3 linked regions of the Saccharomyces cerevisiae S288C genome follow. The gene in region 1 interacts genetically with each later gene. Each region holds a gene or a part of one and is shown in the gene's direction. Other genes may lie near its edges.

What was found. Genes that interact genetically often act in the same process or in processes that back each other up.
Region 2: mutations in PAU4 (region 1) and MSN1 together harm fitness more than expected from each alone (negative genetic interaction), as found in Saccharomyces cerevisiae (2 studies listed by BioGRID).
Region 3: mutations in PAU4 (region 1) and MEF2 together harm fitness more than expected from each alone (negative genetic interaction), as found in Saccharomyces cerevisiae (one large-scale study listed by BioGRID).

Annotation. Positions count from the first base shown.
Region 1 is NC_001144.5:1,060,529-1,064,488, forward strand, and holds PAU4 (seripauperin PAU4), read left to right. Parts: upstream 1-2,390; coding exon 2,391-2,753; downstream 2,754-3,960. Other genes in the region: YLR460C (uncharacterized protein), read right to left, coding at 1-359.
Region 2 is NC_001147.6:98,224-101,464, forward strand, and holds MSN1 (Msn1p), read left to right. Parts: upstream 1-1,585; coding exon 1,586-2,734; downstream 2,735-3,241. Other genes in the region: RRI2 (Rri2p), read left to right, coding at 1-1,265. UniProt on the Saccharomyces cerevisiae protein: May function as a transcriptional activator. Increased dosage of MSN1 restores invertase expression in yeast mutants defective in the SNF1 protein kinase, and msn1 disruption reduced derepression of invertase in the wild-type. May affect SUC2 expression.
Region 3 is NC_001142.9:229,681-234,267, forward strand, and holds MEF2 (mitochondrial elongation factor MEF2), read left to right. Parts: upstream 1-1,620; coding exon 1,621-4,080; downstream 4,081-4,587. Other genes in the region: GSM1 (Gsm1p), read right to left, coding at 1-1,201. UniProt on the Saccharomyces cerevisiae protein: Mitochondrial GTPase that mediates the disassembly of ribosomes from messenger RNA at the termination of mitochondrial protein biosynthesis. Not involved in the GTP-dependent ribosomal translocation step during translation elongation.

The DNA of each region.
Region 1 (3,960 bases):
GATTTGTAGGCAACCACAGTTGAAATAGCAGAATATTCAGCAAAAGCACCATTGGAAGGAAACCTTACGGAAGATCCGTGAATGAACCCATAAATATAATCACCGATAGAAAAGTCTTTAGGATTGACAGCTGGGCCCAATTTGACAATTTGGCCAGCAGCATCACATCCCAGAATAGATCCTTGAGGCCCGATCTTGTAGTCAATGTGTGCCCAATCAGTGGGGTTACCAGCAACAGCGAGTGTCTTAATCAATACGAATCCTTCTTCCAATTCAGGAATGGGAATGCCCTCTTTAACAACCGCTTTACCGTCTTCAATGACGACAGCCTTCATGGTTTCTGGAATTGCAACTTGCATGTTTGTAGGTTATCTGTAATTGTCGTTGATAATCTGTATTCAGCTTGCCATTTTATAGAATATGGTTAGAAAGATCTTAAGCTAGATAAAGAAAAAGAAAAAAATAGAAAAAAGCCTGCCCGCTTTATAAGAACTTTTCTCAATATCTGTTGAGGAACACTTAGTAATATCGTCTATCATGGTTGCTTTATTCTTAGTGATATTACTCTCTGGGATTCGATGTGTTCTCATCATCTGAAGGGTTTTCTATGTGTTGAAAGCCTATCCCACTAGACGGAGCCGCGCGTCAGCCGGGCGGATCCGAGACATCTTAGTCAGCTGAGACAAGAAAGGCACAGCTCTCGGACAGGAACTGCTGTCATATGAAAACCTAAAAATGTTTCCTGGAAATTCCATGACTGCGCAAAGTTTGATACGTTTATTGTTCTTCTCCACTACCGCACTTTCTATCTCGGAAACCTTTCAACTAAATGAACTATTGTTAATTGTATGGCGTGTGGCCTTTCTATTTCAGAAAATTTAGAGTAAAGTAAACTCCGTCGGACTAGTATAGTAATGAAACAAGCCATTGACTCTGCAGCATATTGCGACCAAAACCTGGAAATTGGTGGCTATGAGTTTTAATTTATAATTATATGAAAACAAAGCTTGGAATGCTGAGTACTTTTTCTTCAATGCTGCTCACTGCCCAGAAGCGTTCAGAACAACTCTACTGGAGCCATTCTGCTTGAAGGAGGATAAAAATGCCAAGATCAAGTCTTTTAAAGATTCTATCCCTTTTCATCGAAGAAGCACTACAAGTTTATTTTACAGAAGTTGACAAACTGTGGAACTTGATCCATACTGAATAAGTATGGAAAACTGTTAACTTAGAGGATGCTCTGCTTTCTAAAGAAGTTTCACAGCTTTAGACTCACATGGGTTCTCATGAGTATTGCTAGCTAGTGCGAGTTTGATCTATACTTCACAGACTTTTAACACCCCGTTCCTTAAGTTTTCCCTGATTATCAAGGGTATTTCCAATTCTTACTCCCCACTATCGCTCCTTTCTTATCTGAATTGTATTTTTGAGTGGCCTAATTGTAATCTTTTATTTTGTTTTCTAATTATTGAAGGCGGTTTCTCGAAGCATTTCACGATTTCCAAAATTCAAGAATTGAAATTATGAACATAGAAGACAAAATACTTTTTTTATCAACTATTAATACACCTTTCCTAGAGAACATTTTTAAAATAAAATAAAATAAAGTAGCGCTCTCTACTACCCTTACACTTTTCTCCTTCATATCTGGCTAGAAAAGAGGGATTACATCTCGGAATCAAATATTTCCCTCTGTGCAAAGTTTTAATACTGCTACTACGAACTGGTTACAATTTTATTTTTATCATACACGATACTTTGAACATCAACTTCTCTCAATACCATCCGCCTTCAGCGGCTACAATTACGTAATTGCACCAAGGCATTCGCCGAGAGTTCACAAATTGCAGACCCTAACAGTATACGACTCCCAACACACGTTTAATGTTGTACGAATTCAAGAGATAGAAATGCTTCTTCCGCGGAAGCCGTTTAAAGCACTGAAATTAGGCTTAGACAATAGACTTCTGTACGAGGGTCCAAATCTAAAATTCAGATATTCTTTTTGACCGAAAACGGAAATCACAGGCGCGCAAAAGGGTTTTTCAAGGTACCCCGGCATCCCTATAATAGGCATTCCCACATTCTGCGCATACGAATACACATGAGTGCCATAAAACAATACTCCACATACGAAGTCTATGAAAGATGTATGATTCGTTCAGAAACAAGAGCATTTCCATACTGATAATGAGATTGTGTGAAAGATGAGATATGGAGGATATGTGAGGTGCTAAATGAGCGTCTGTTAACGAATCGTTTAAATAGTGATGACTGATGAAGGCATGGGTATAAATAGAGCTGCTTCAACTGTATGCCTTTGAGAATATGTCTTTATTCCTTTCTTTCCTGTTAAGCTTATATCAGCACTAACAAACAAAACAAATACAATGGTCAAATTAACTTCAATCGCCGCTGGTGTCGCTGCCATCGCTGCTACTGCTTCCGCAACCACCACTATAGCTCAATCTGACGAAAGAGTCAACTTGGTTGAATTGGGTGTCTACGTCTCTGATATCAGAGCTCACTTGGCCCAATACTACATGTTCCAAGCCGCCCACCCAACTGAAACCTACCCAGTTGAAGTTGCTGAAGCCGTTTTCAACTACGGTGACTTCACCACCATGTTGACTGGTATTGCCCCAGACCAAGTGACCAGAATGATCACCGGTGTTCCATGGTACTCCAGCAGATTAAAGCCAGCTATCTCCAAGGCTCTATCCAAAGATGGTATCTACACTATCGCAAACTAGGGACGAGTGCCTCTACGAATGAAAATTCATAGACAGTAAAAAGTAATGAAAAATAAAATAAAAACTACTTTTTTTTGATGATATAAATACCGTAGATTATATAAATGTATATTAATATTATAAACCTATTTGATCAATGACAGTGTTCGTGAAGCATTTTATGAATACGATAAACATAAAAAGAAACTTTTACACTATTCTAGAAAAAGGGTGGATGGTAATAAAGCTAATAGAGTATGTCCAATAAACAATAATGAAATTGGAAGCGCATGACTTCTCAGCACTTTGTCTTTCCATAAAAATGAGTCGCTGCTTCTTTTTTCATTTTTTGGCGCGTCGCGTCGGGCCGTATAGAATATGCGTCACTTCTAAGAACAAGATTGCAGATCAGGGCAGTGCGAGTTACGGAGTCATGGTATCAAACTCTCATTTAGAGACCCTCATTTTTTGACACTGAAAATATCAAAATTTCTGGGTTGCGATAGTTTTTGTGTAACCGTAACCAGAAATAAAGCTGAAGGGTTAGTGTTCTATCAACAATAAGATAGAGGGTGGTAAGATGAAGTGAGACAATATCGTAACGTCCGTTTCAGTATACGCCGCTGATAAGTTATATTACCGTAAAATTATTTGACATTTCGTTATAGATCCTATTAAATAACGTACCTATCACAGTATCGTCTTGTTCAGATATAGTCTCTTCGTATGAGTAGTGTCACATACAAGATTAAAGATGCATCAGTTATGCTTTTAGGATATTGCGGATAGCATATGGGAATGGAAATAGGATACAATTTTATCATAGCACCCGCATGAGTGTCAACACAGTACCATATTATAGCACAGTGAATGGAGAGTGTTACGACAGTGAGGTAGCATATTATTCTAATGTATGGTCTGCATAAGTACGAAATATTCTGAAATGGCATCCGTTCAAGCAAACTGCAATATTAAGGAACTTTTACGTTAATGACGTCATGGTAGTGTTCATACTCCAAGTCAATATGTTTTTGTATTATTGTTGAAGAATAGAATATTTTTATGTTTAGGTGATTTTAGTGGTGATTTTTCTGTAATATTGGCATAAGTGTATTTAAATTGAGTGGTTAGTATATGGTGCAAAAGTAATATAACGTATGTATTAAGAGCATTTTTACAATATTCGAGGCCACTGAATGAGATATAGATATTAAAATGTGGATAATCA
Region 2 (3,241 bases), on another chromosome or scaffold:
AACTCCAAAATCTCCAGCGTATAATTAGAAAAAAGATATTTATTGCCGTTGTTTGGTATCAAAGGTTAACCATGGGGAATGTATTCACCCCGGAAATTTCTTCCCAAATAGAGATTCTTGTGAAAGATAATGAATGCTCTTCTTTTGAGGAAAATAATGATTTGGAAAGTGTATCTATGTTACTGCAGTATTACATATTGGAGTATATGAACACTGCACGAATAAACAATAGAAGGTTGTTTAAGAAGTGCATTGACTTTTTTGAAATGTTGATATCTAAGTCGCTTACTTTCTCACAAGAATCTGGACTGATGGTAATATTATATACCTCTAAGATTGTATTCATTTTAGACTCTGATTCAGAGAATGATTTATCCTTTGCGCTGATGAGATATTATGATCGGAAAGAAGAGCTAAAAAATATGTTCCTCTATATCTTGAAACACTTGGAAGAGATGGGAAAACTTCGGGAGAGGGATATTACCTCTTTGTTTCACAAGTTCATTCTTAGCGGCTTCATTTTCACGAGCATGATTCTAGAAGCAATTAGCACAGACAAGATTAATCCTTTTGGTTTCGAACAAGTGAAGATTGCGCTAGGCAGCCCTATTGTTAACGTATTAGAAGATGTCTACAGGTGCTTCGCACAACTGGAACTAAGACAGCTGAATGCAAGTATATCTCTTATTCCTGAATTGTCCGTAGTACTAAGTGGAATTATTCAAGATATTTACTATCTGGCGCAGACATTAAAGTTGTGGAGAAAAATTGCACGATTATACTCCTGTATCTCCATAAGTGACATTATAAGTATGCTGCAAATAAGTGATGACAATGAAATGACAAGAGATGATTTGCTAACAATTTTAATGAGGTCAATAATGAAAAATAGATCGGTTGTGTATTTTAAGTTAGATTTGACAAGTGATTTAGTCTATTTCGGAGACGAGAATAAAGTCATGCTACCGAGATGTTCTAAAGAAGAATTTCGTCTTATGATCTCTCCCAAGGATGAAGAAACCACTGAAAAGGCCAGGCTAATAGATTTTGAGTACGTTAACGATGTCGCGATTTATAATAACCCAACAAGAATAAGAACCAAATCCTCTAAAGAATTTTTCAATACATTAAGAAAATCTAGGGAAACTGTAAAATTACCGAGGGTAAGCAACCAGTCGAATGAAGATACTTTTCTACCATCGTATATGAAGTTTTCCAACAAGTACCTCGAGCTGTGCAAACTGGCCTCTAACAATCTGGAATAGAATGTCGATCAGGCACGTTCGTGTAAACATTACGATTTTGGAATTCCACTTACATAAGATAGCTTCTTTGTAAAAGCCGTTCGAAGATTTCGTTTATAGTGATGCTTTTTCTGGAGAGATTTAAGATAATAAGGATATGTGGAAGGAAATGAAAATGTACACCTACAAAGCGTTGATGGTATGGAAACTATCGACCATAGTTTGTTAAACAGGAAATATTTGCTTGAGGGTAAAGTGTTCTGATTCATTATACAAAGCCCCTTGCTTATAAGAAAAGAAACCAAATCAGAAAAGGAGATTATTTCAAGGTAGGCATCGAAATGGCAAGTAACCAGCACATAGGAGCTTCAAACCTAAATGAGAATGAGGCTATATTAACCAACCGCGTTGCTGAGCTGGAAAGGCGTATGTCGATGTTTGAGGGTATATTTCACGCGTTAAGTAACCGTCTCGATCTTCACTTTAAAAAATATGATGTAGTGGTAAACTCCCAACAGCAACAAATCAACGAACTGACCGCGTTTTTATCAACATTGCTGAATGACCAACAACGCCACGCTGAAATTCTCAGTGAAAAATTAAGCGGAACGTTGCATGGGGTGTCAGCTACGTCAATATCCTTAAGCCAAACTCTTGACCCACAAGGCTTCACTGATGGAACTACGGCACCAGGAGCTCCTAGGAATTATACTTCAGTGCCTATGAATAATGATCAAACTGCTCATCCGCAAAATGAAGGAGCTGTTAGTAATGAAACACTTTTTGAGGACATTTTGAATGGAAATTCACAAGAAAATGATAAGAGTCAACAACAAACTAACAGCTCAAATTCTATAAGCCAAGAAAATAATAGCACCAACCCTTCAGTGGACACTCGGTTCAACAAGCCGCAAAATTATAATTCCAATTTAGTCCCATCCTTGGAAGAGTATTCAGCAAATCCACCTAACAATGATGGTGGCCAAAGTCAAGGACTGTACATAAGCAGCAACTCTTCTCAATCACGGCAGTCTCCTAATCTCCAGAAAGTTTCTCCTAACCATGAAAATGCGGTTGAATCAAATGCACAAGAGAGCGTGCCGACATTTGAGGAGGAACAGTATGAGACTAAAACAGGATTGAAACGGAAACGAATAGTCTGCACAAGACCCTTCGAATTTATCAAGTCACCACACTCTGTGATGGAGGTTTGGAAGGAGTATACAGAAGGTGTTAACGGGCAGCCTTCTATAAGGAAAATGGAAGCTCTTTATCAAACGGCATGGAGGCGAGATCCAGCAGTAAATAAAAGATATTCGAGAAGAAAGGTTCTTTGGAAAGCCATTCAAACTGGCCTTAATCGTGGGTATTCATTAAACTATGTTGTTGAAATATTAGAAAACTCAAGATATGTTAATGATAAACAGAAGGTTAAACAACCTATTGGTTGGTTATGCCACAGTTCTCATATTCCAGAGACTTTGAAGTGACATTTGCTTCTTGTGTATTCACCTTTATCCCAAATTAGCCCTTGTAACACTTATGCTTTTCTTAATAAATTAATAATTGGACTTTCCTTTAAAGTGGGTTGTATCTGTAACAATAATCTCTAATAATATCCTATAAAACTCAGAAGTCAGCCAACAACAATTGTATACGTATACATATCTATATAATATGCCTTGTACTTTACGCTCTTGAATTTAGAATAGCTGAACACCTAACTGAATTTAAGTAAAGGATCCCAAGCGTGAGATATTTAGGTTTACTCAGTTTTCTTATCTTGCCTTTTGATTATCACGTTGAGTGTCGAAGAAACCTGTATTCATCCTCGGCTTCTTGTATATGATTCTAAAATAATGTGTGAAAAAAAAAATAAAATAAAAAAAAGAGGAAAATAATATAGAATAACTATTAAGTTTCATTAAAAAAAAACCATTTGAATATACGACCAAAAACGTTACGCTTTCATAAAGTGTGAATAAGCAAGGGAACTA
Region 3 (4,587 bases), on another chromosome or scaffold:
ATTTTTTTCTTAAAGTAGTTAGCAGTTTGGTGTATGCGAGCTTGTAATTATGCGGTTTTATTAAACATTTATTGTCATATAGGTCTTGAGGAGTCTTTACTAATTCACGAAACTTTGAAGGTGATATGAAATCGGTATCATGTTTCTCCAGATCTGCATCGGAGTGACTAGAACTGTCACATTCGCTTTCCAGTTTGGCGTTATGTGATGGGTGTGTATTAGCGTTTGCTCCACGATTCAAATGCAGCATGTCTAAAGATATAAAGGGCCTAGACACTACTTCATCATATGTATTGAAAGTAGAAGTGGAATGGCCGATCGAGGAGTCCTTTTGGTCATTCACGCTTTTTGTCGAGTTTAAAAGGTTCGTTAAATGCAATGACGAATTTCCCCGTGTAGATGCGCTAGGATTGGGATATTCTGATTCTTGGAGGGAAAATATCTGGGAGTTATTCGGTAAAAACGGCGTTGAAATATCTACTATATCCTTTAATTTCATGTATTCGTCATTGCACCACATACTATCAAAGTGAATATTAGTTTCGTCATCGACATCATCGTCACTCTTATTACTATCGTCCATTCCAGAGTGCACAGGAACGTTTGAAGTAGCAACCAAACAATTGGTAGCCAGCGGCTGCTGCATTGCTTTATGTTGCTCTAGGAAATGCGACTTTAAATTGAGAGTACTCTTCCGTACGGTGGGTATGATGGGGTCATTCATTAAATGTACTGCTTGTGAAGCTGATATATTATTAGAAGTATTTTCTAAGACGGTCTGGCGGTTATTCGTATTGAAGTTCGTAATACGTGGAATAGATCCAGCGCTTTGAAAGTTATCATTTATATTATACGTATATTGGATATTCGTATTGTGGGCAGGTGTTTTGCCTGGTTTTTCCTGATCTGAAGATAGAAAATCTCGCTGCAGATGTACGCTTGAGGGGGATACCGTCTTCGACGGCACATCATGTATTACCAGCCTCTTCCCCAAATTCAAGTATGGTTGTGTTCCATGCTTCTCAATTCGTTTTCTTGATTTCCTTTTCTTATCTCTGCAAAACTTCCCAATATTTCTTTTTAAACAGTTTTGACATGGCCTCCCTACGTCACACTGTATATGTTTGGTATGACAGAATTCACAAGCTGTCTGGATAGACTTTCTCGTCTGTTTCAACTCTGAAGGTAGTTTTTTGGTCATATGTATATATATTCTTGTATGCTGTATCCAAATATATTATTTCTTTACTCCCTTTATTGCTAAGCTGTAATACGTTAAATCATTCGAAATATGATCTATTCATGCAAAAACTTGATGTGTGTAACAAAGAAAATATCCGGTTCAGAGATCCGAACAAATGATAGTCGTACCCTTCCCCTTAGTGTTAACTCGTTTAAGCAGGCTATGATGATTAGTAAATCGTTTCAGCCTCTTCTCATTTCGACAATTTTTGAGGCCTTCCCTTAGTGAGAGGGGAGATAACCAATCAGCACAGAGAACGACGACGGCGCGGAGGCTGGGCGGTTAAAAGAAGATAATGTGAAATAGATCAACAAGCTTTCTGGTGGCAAAACGGCAGTCAGAGATATACAAAAGGGGCAAGATAAGTGAGGGAGGCTATGTGGAAATGGAATGTGCGCAGATGGGCGGGCGCAAGAGTAAACATTAGCAAGAACCGATTAAGTGTAATTAACGTTGGAAGTAGATACTTATCGACCGCAAGAAGTCCACTGTCTAAGGTTAGAAATATAGGAATTATAGCCCATATCGATGCAGGTAAAACTACCACAACAGAGAGGATGCTTTATTATGCAGGAATCTCAAAGCATATTGGAGACGTCGACACTGGCGATACGATAACTGATTTTTTAGAGCAGGAGAGATCCCGAGGTATCACAATTCAAAGCGCTGCGATTTCATTCCCATGGCGAAATACTTTTGCAATAAATCTTATTGATACGCCGGGACATATAGATTTTACTTTTGAAGTGATTAGGGCTTTGAAAGTTATTGATTCATGCGTGGTCATTTTGGACGCTGTTGCCGGCGTAGAGGCACAGACAGAGAAGGTTTGGAAGCAAAGTAAATCGAAGCCCAAAATCTGCTTTATCAACAAAATGGATCGTATGGGGGCGAGTTTCAACCATACAGTCAATGACTTGATAAATAAATTTATGAGAGGAACAACTACCAAACCGGTGTTGGTAAACATTCCTTACTATCGAAAACAACCGACTAGCAATGATTATGTTTTCCAAGGTGTTATTGACGTCGTAAATGGGAAGCGATTAACCTGGAATCCAGAAAATCCTGATGAAATTATCGTGGATGAGTTGGATGGTACTTCTCTTGAGCAGTGTAATCGTTGTAGGGAATCGATGATAGAGACTTTGACTGAATACGACGAAGATTTAGTCCAGCACTTCTTAGAGGAGGCAGAAGGCGATTACTCCAAGGTTTCCGCACAGTTTTTGAACGCTTCAATAAGAAAACTGACTATGAAGAATATGATTGTACCTGTCTTATGCGGTGCGTCTTTTAAAAATATTGGCGTGCAGCCTCTATTAGATGCTATAGTTAATTATCTCCCTTCGCCCATTGAAGCCGAACTACCAGAACTAAATGATAAAACCGTTCCAATGAAATATGACCCCAAAGTTGGATGTTTAGTAAACAACAACAAAAATCTTTGCATTGCTCTTGCATTCAAAGTGATTACGGATCCAATCAGGGGTAAACAAATATTCATTAGAATTTATTCAGGTACACTAAACAGTGGCAATACCGTTTATAATTCTACTACTGGGGAAAAATTTAAATTGGGTAAATTACTGATACCCCATGCGGGAACATCACAACCTGTAAATATTTTAACTGCGGGCCAAATCGGATTGCTTACTGGCTCTACAGTCGAAAACAACATATCTACTGGAGATACACTAATAACGCATTCGTCGAAGAAGGATGGGTTGAAATCACTTGATAAAAAAAAGGAGTTGACGTTAAAAATCAATTCTATCTTCATTCCCCCACCAGTTTTTGGTGTTTCCATCGAACCAAGGACTTTAAGTAATAAAAAATCGATGGAAGAAGCTTTAAACACTTTAATTACTGAAGATCCCAGTCTTTCAATTTCTCAAAATGATGAGACTGGCCAAACGGTTTTAAACGGTATGGGTGAATTACACCTTGAAATTGCCAAGGATCGATTGGTTAATGACCTAAAAGCAGATGTTGAATTTGGTCAGTTGATGGTGTCCTACAAAGAAACAATTAATTCAGAAACAAATATAGAAACGTATGAGAGTGATGATGGATATAGATTCTCCTTATCTCTGCTACCAAATTCCGATGCCCTTCCTAACTGCCTTGCATATCCATTAGGAGTCAACGAGAATTTTCTGATAATGGAAAAAAATGGTAATTGGGATAAAGAATGGAAATACCAAGTTTCTTTCGAATCAATTCTAAATTCTATTATTGCAAGTTGCATTGTGGGACTTCAAAGAGGCGGAAAAATAGCTAACTTTCCCTTATATGCATGCTCCATCAAAATCAATAGCGATTGGTCAGTCCCACCTGATATTGAAACTCCACAAGAAATCTTAAAAATTACTAGAAACTTAATTTTTAAAGCTCTCAATGACTTAAAACCTGAAAAATACAACCTTCTGGAACCCATCATGAATCTTGATCTAACAATCCCTCAATCTGATGTTGGTACGGTGTTACAAGATCTAACAGGAGCAAGAAAGGCTCAAATTCTGTCTATTGAAGACGAATCAAGCGTGTCAAATTCTGGCGCATCCACTTGTAATTCTCCAGAGAACAGCAATAGGATATATATTCCCTCTGATGCTGTTACAACCCTACACGCAACCAAAGATAAAAAAAACACTCAAGAGACCAGTTCTAATGTAAAAAAAATTATAAAAGCGAAAGTGCCACTAAGGGAAATTACCACCTACACCAATAAGCTAAGGAGCTTATCGCAAGGGAGGGGTGAGTTCAATATTGAATATTCCGATATGGAGAAAGTTACCAACGATCGCCTACAATCAATACTTCACGACTTGTAGCAAAAATGTCCTTAATAAACGCCTTGTTATATCTTTATCAAAATGGTTTTTACAACTATCGAATAGTGTGAACCGATAACTGTGTAGTTGTATATTAATAGAACTTTACTTTTGCGCAGGAACAAACATTTTATTGCGACATAGGCATACCTTGCCCTCAGAGATCTTTATATTCTTGTTCCTCGTGGCCCAATGGTCACGGCGTCTGGCTACGAACCAGGAGATTCCAGGTTCGAGTCCTGGCGGGGAAGAATATTCTTTTTGTCACTAACACAACCATTCTATAAATTGAAGAGAAAAATTAAATGGCCAATATTCTACGTGCTTGTTATTAGAAACTCGCAACAATTGTTCTGCAAGGCCCCTCATTTTTTTTTGCTATATAAAATAATAAATGGTCACGTTGGCATAAGTTTGTGTAGAAATGCTTAAGATCACTTGCAAAAATATAAACTGAATAATAAAAAAAAGAGGTATAATACTGGTCGTTGCTTTTTCAATCACCGT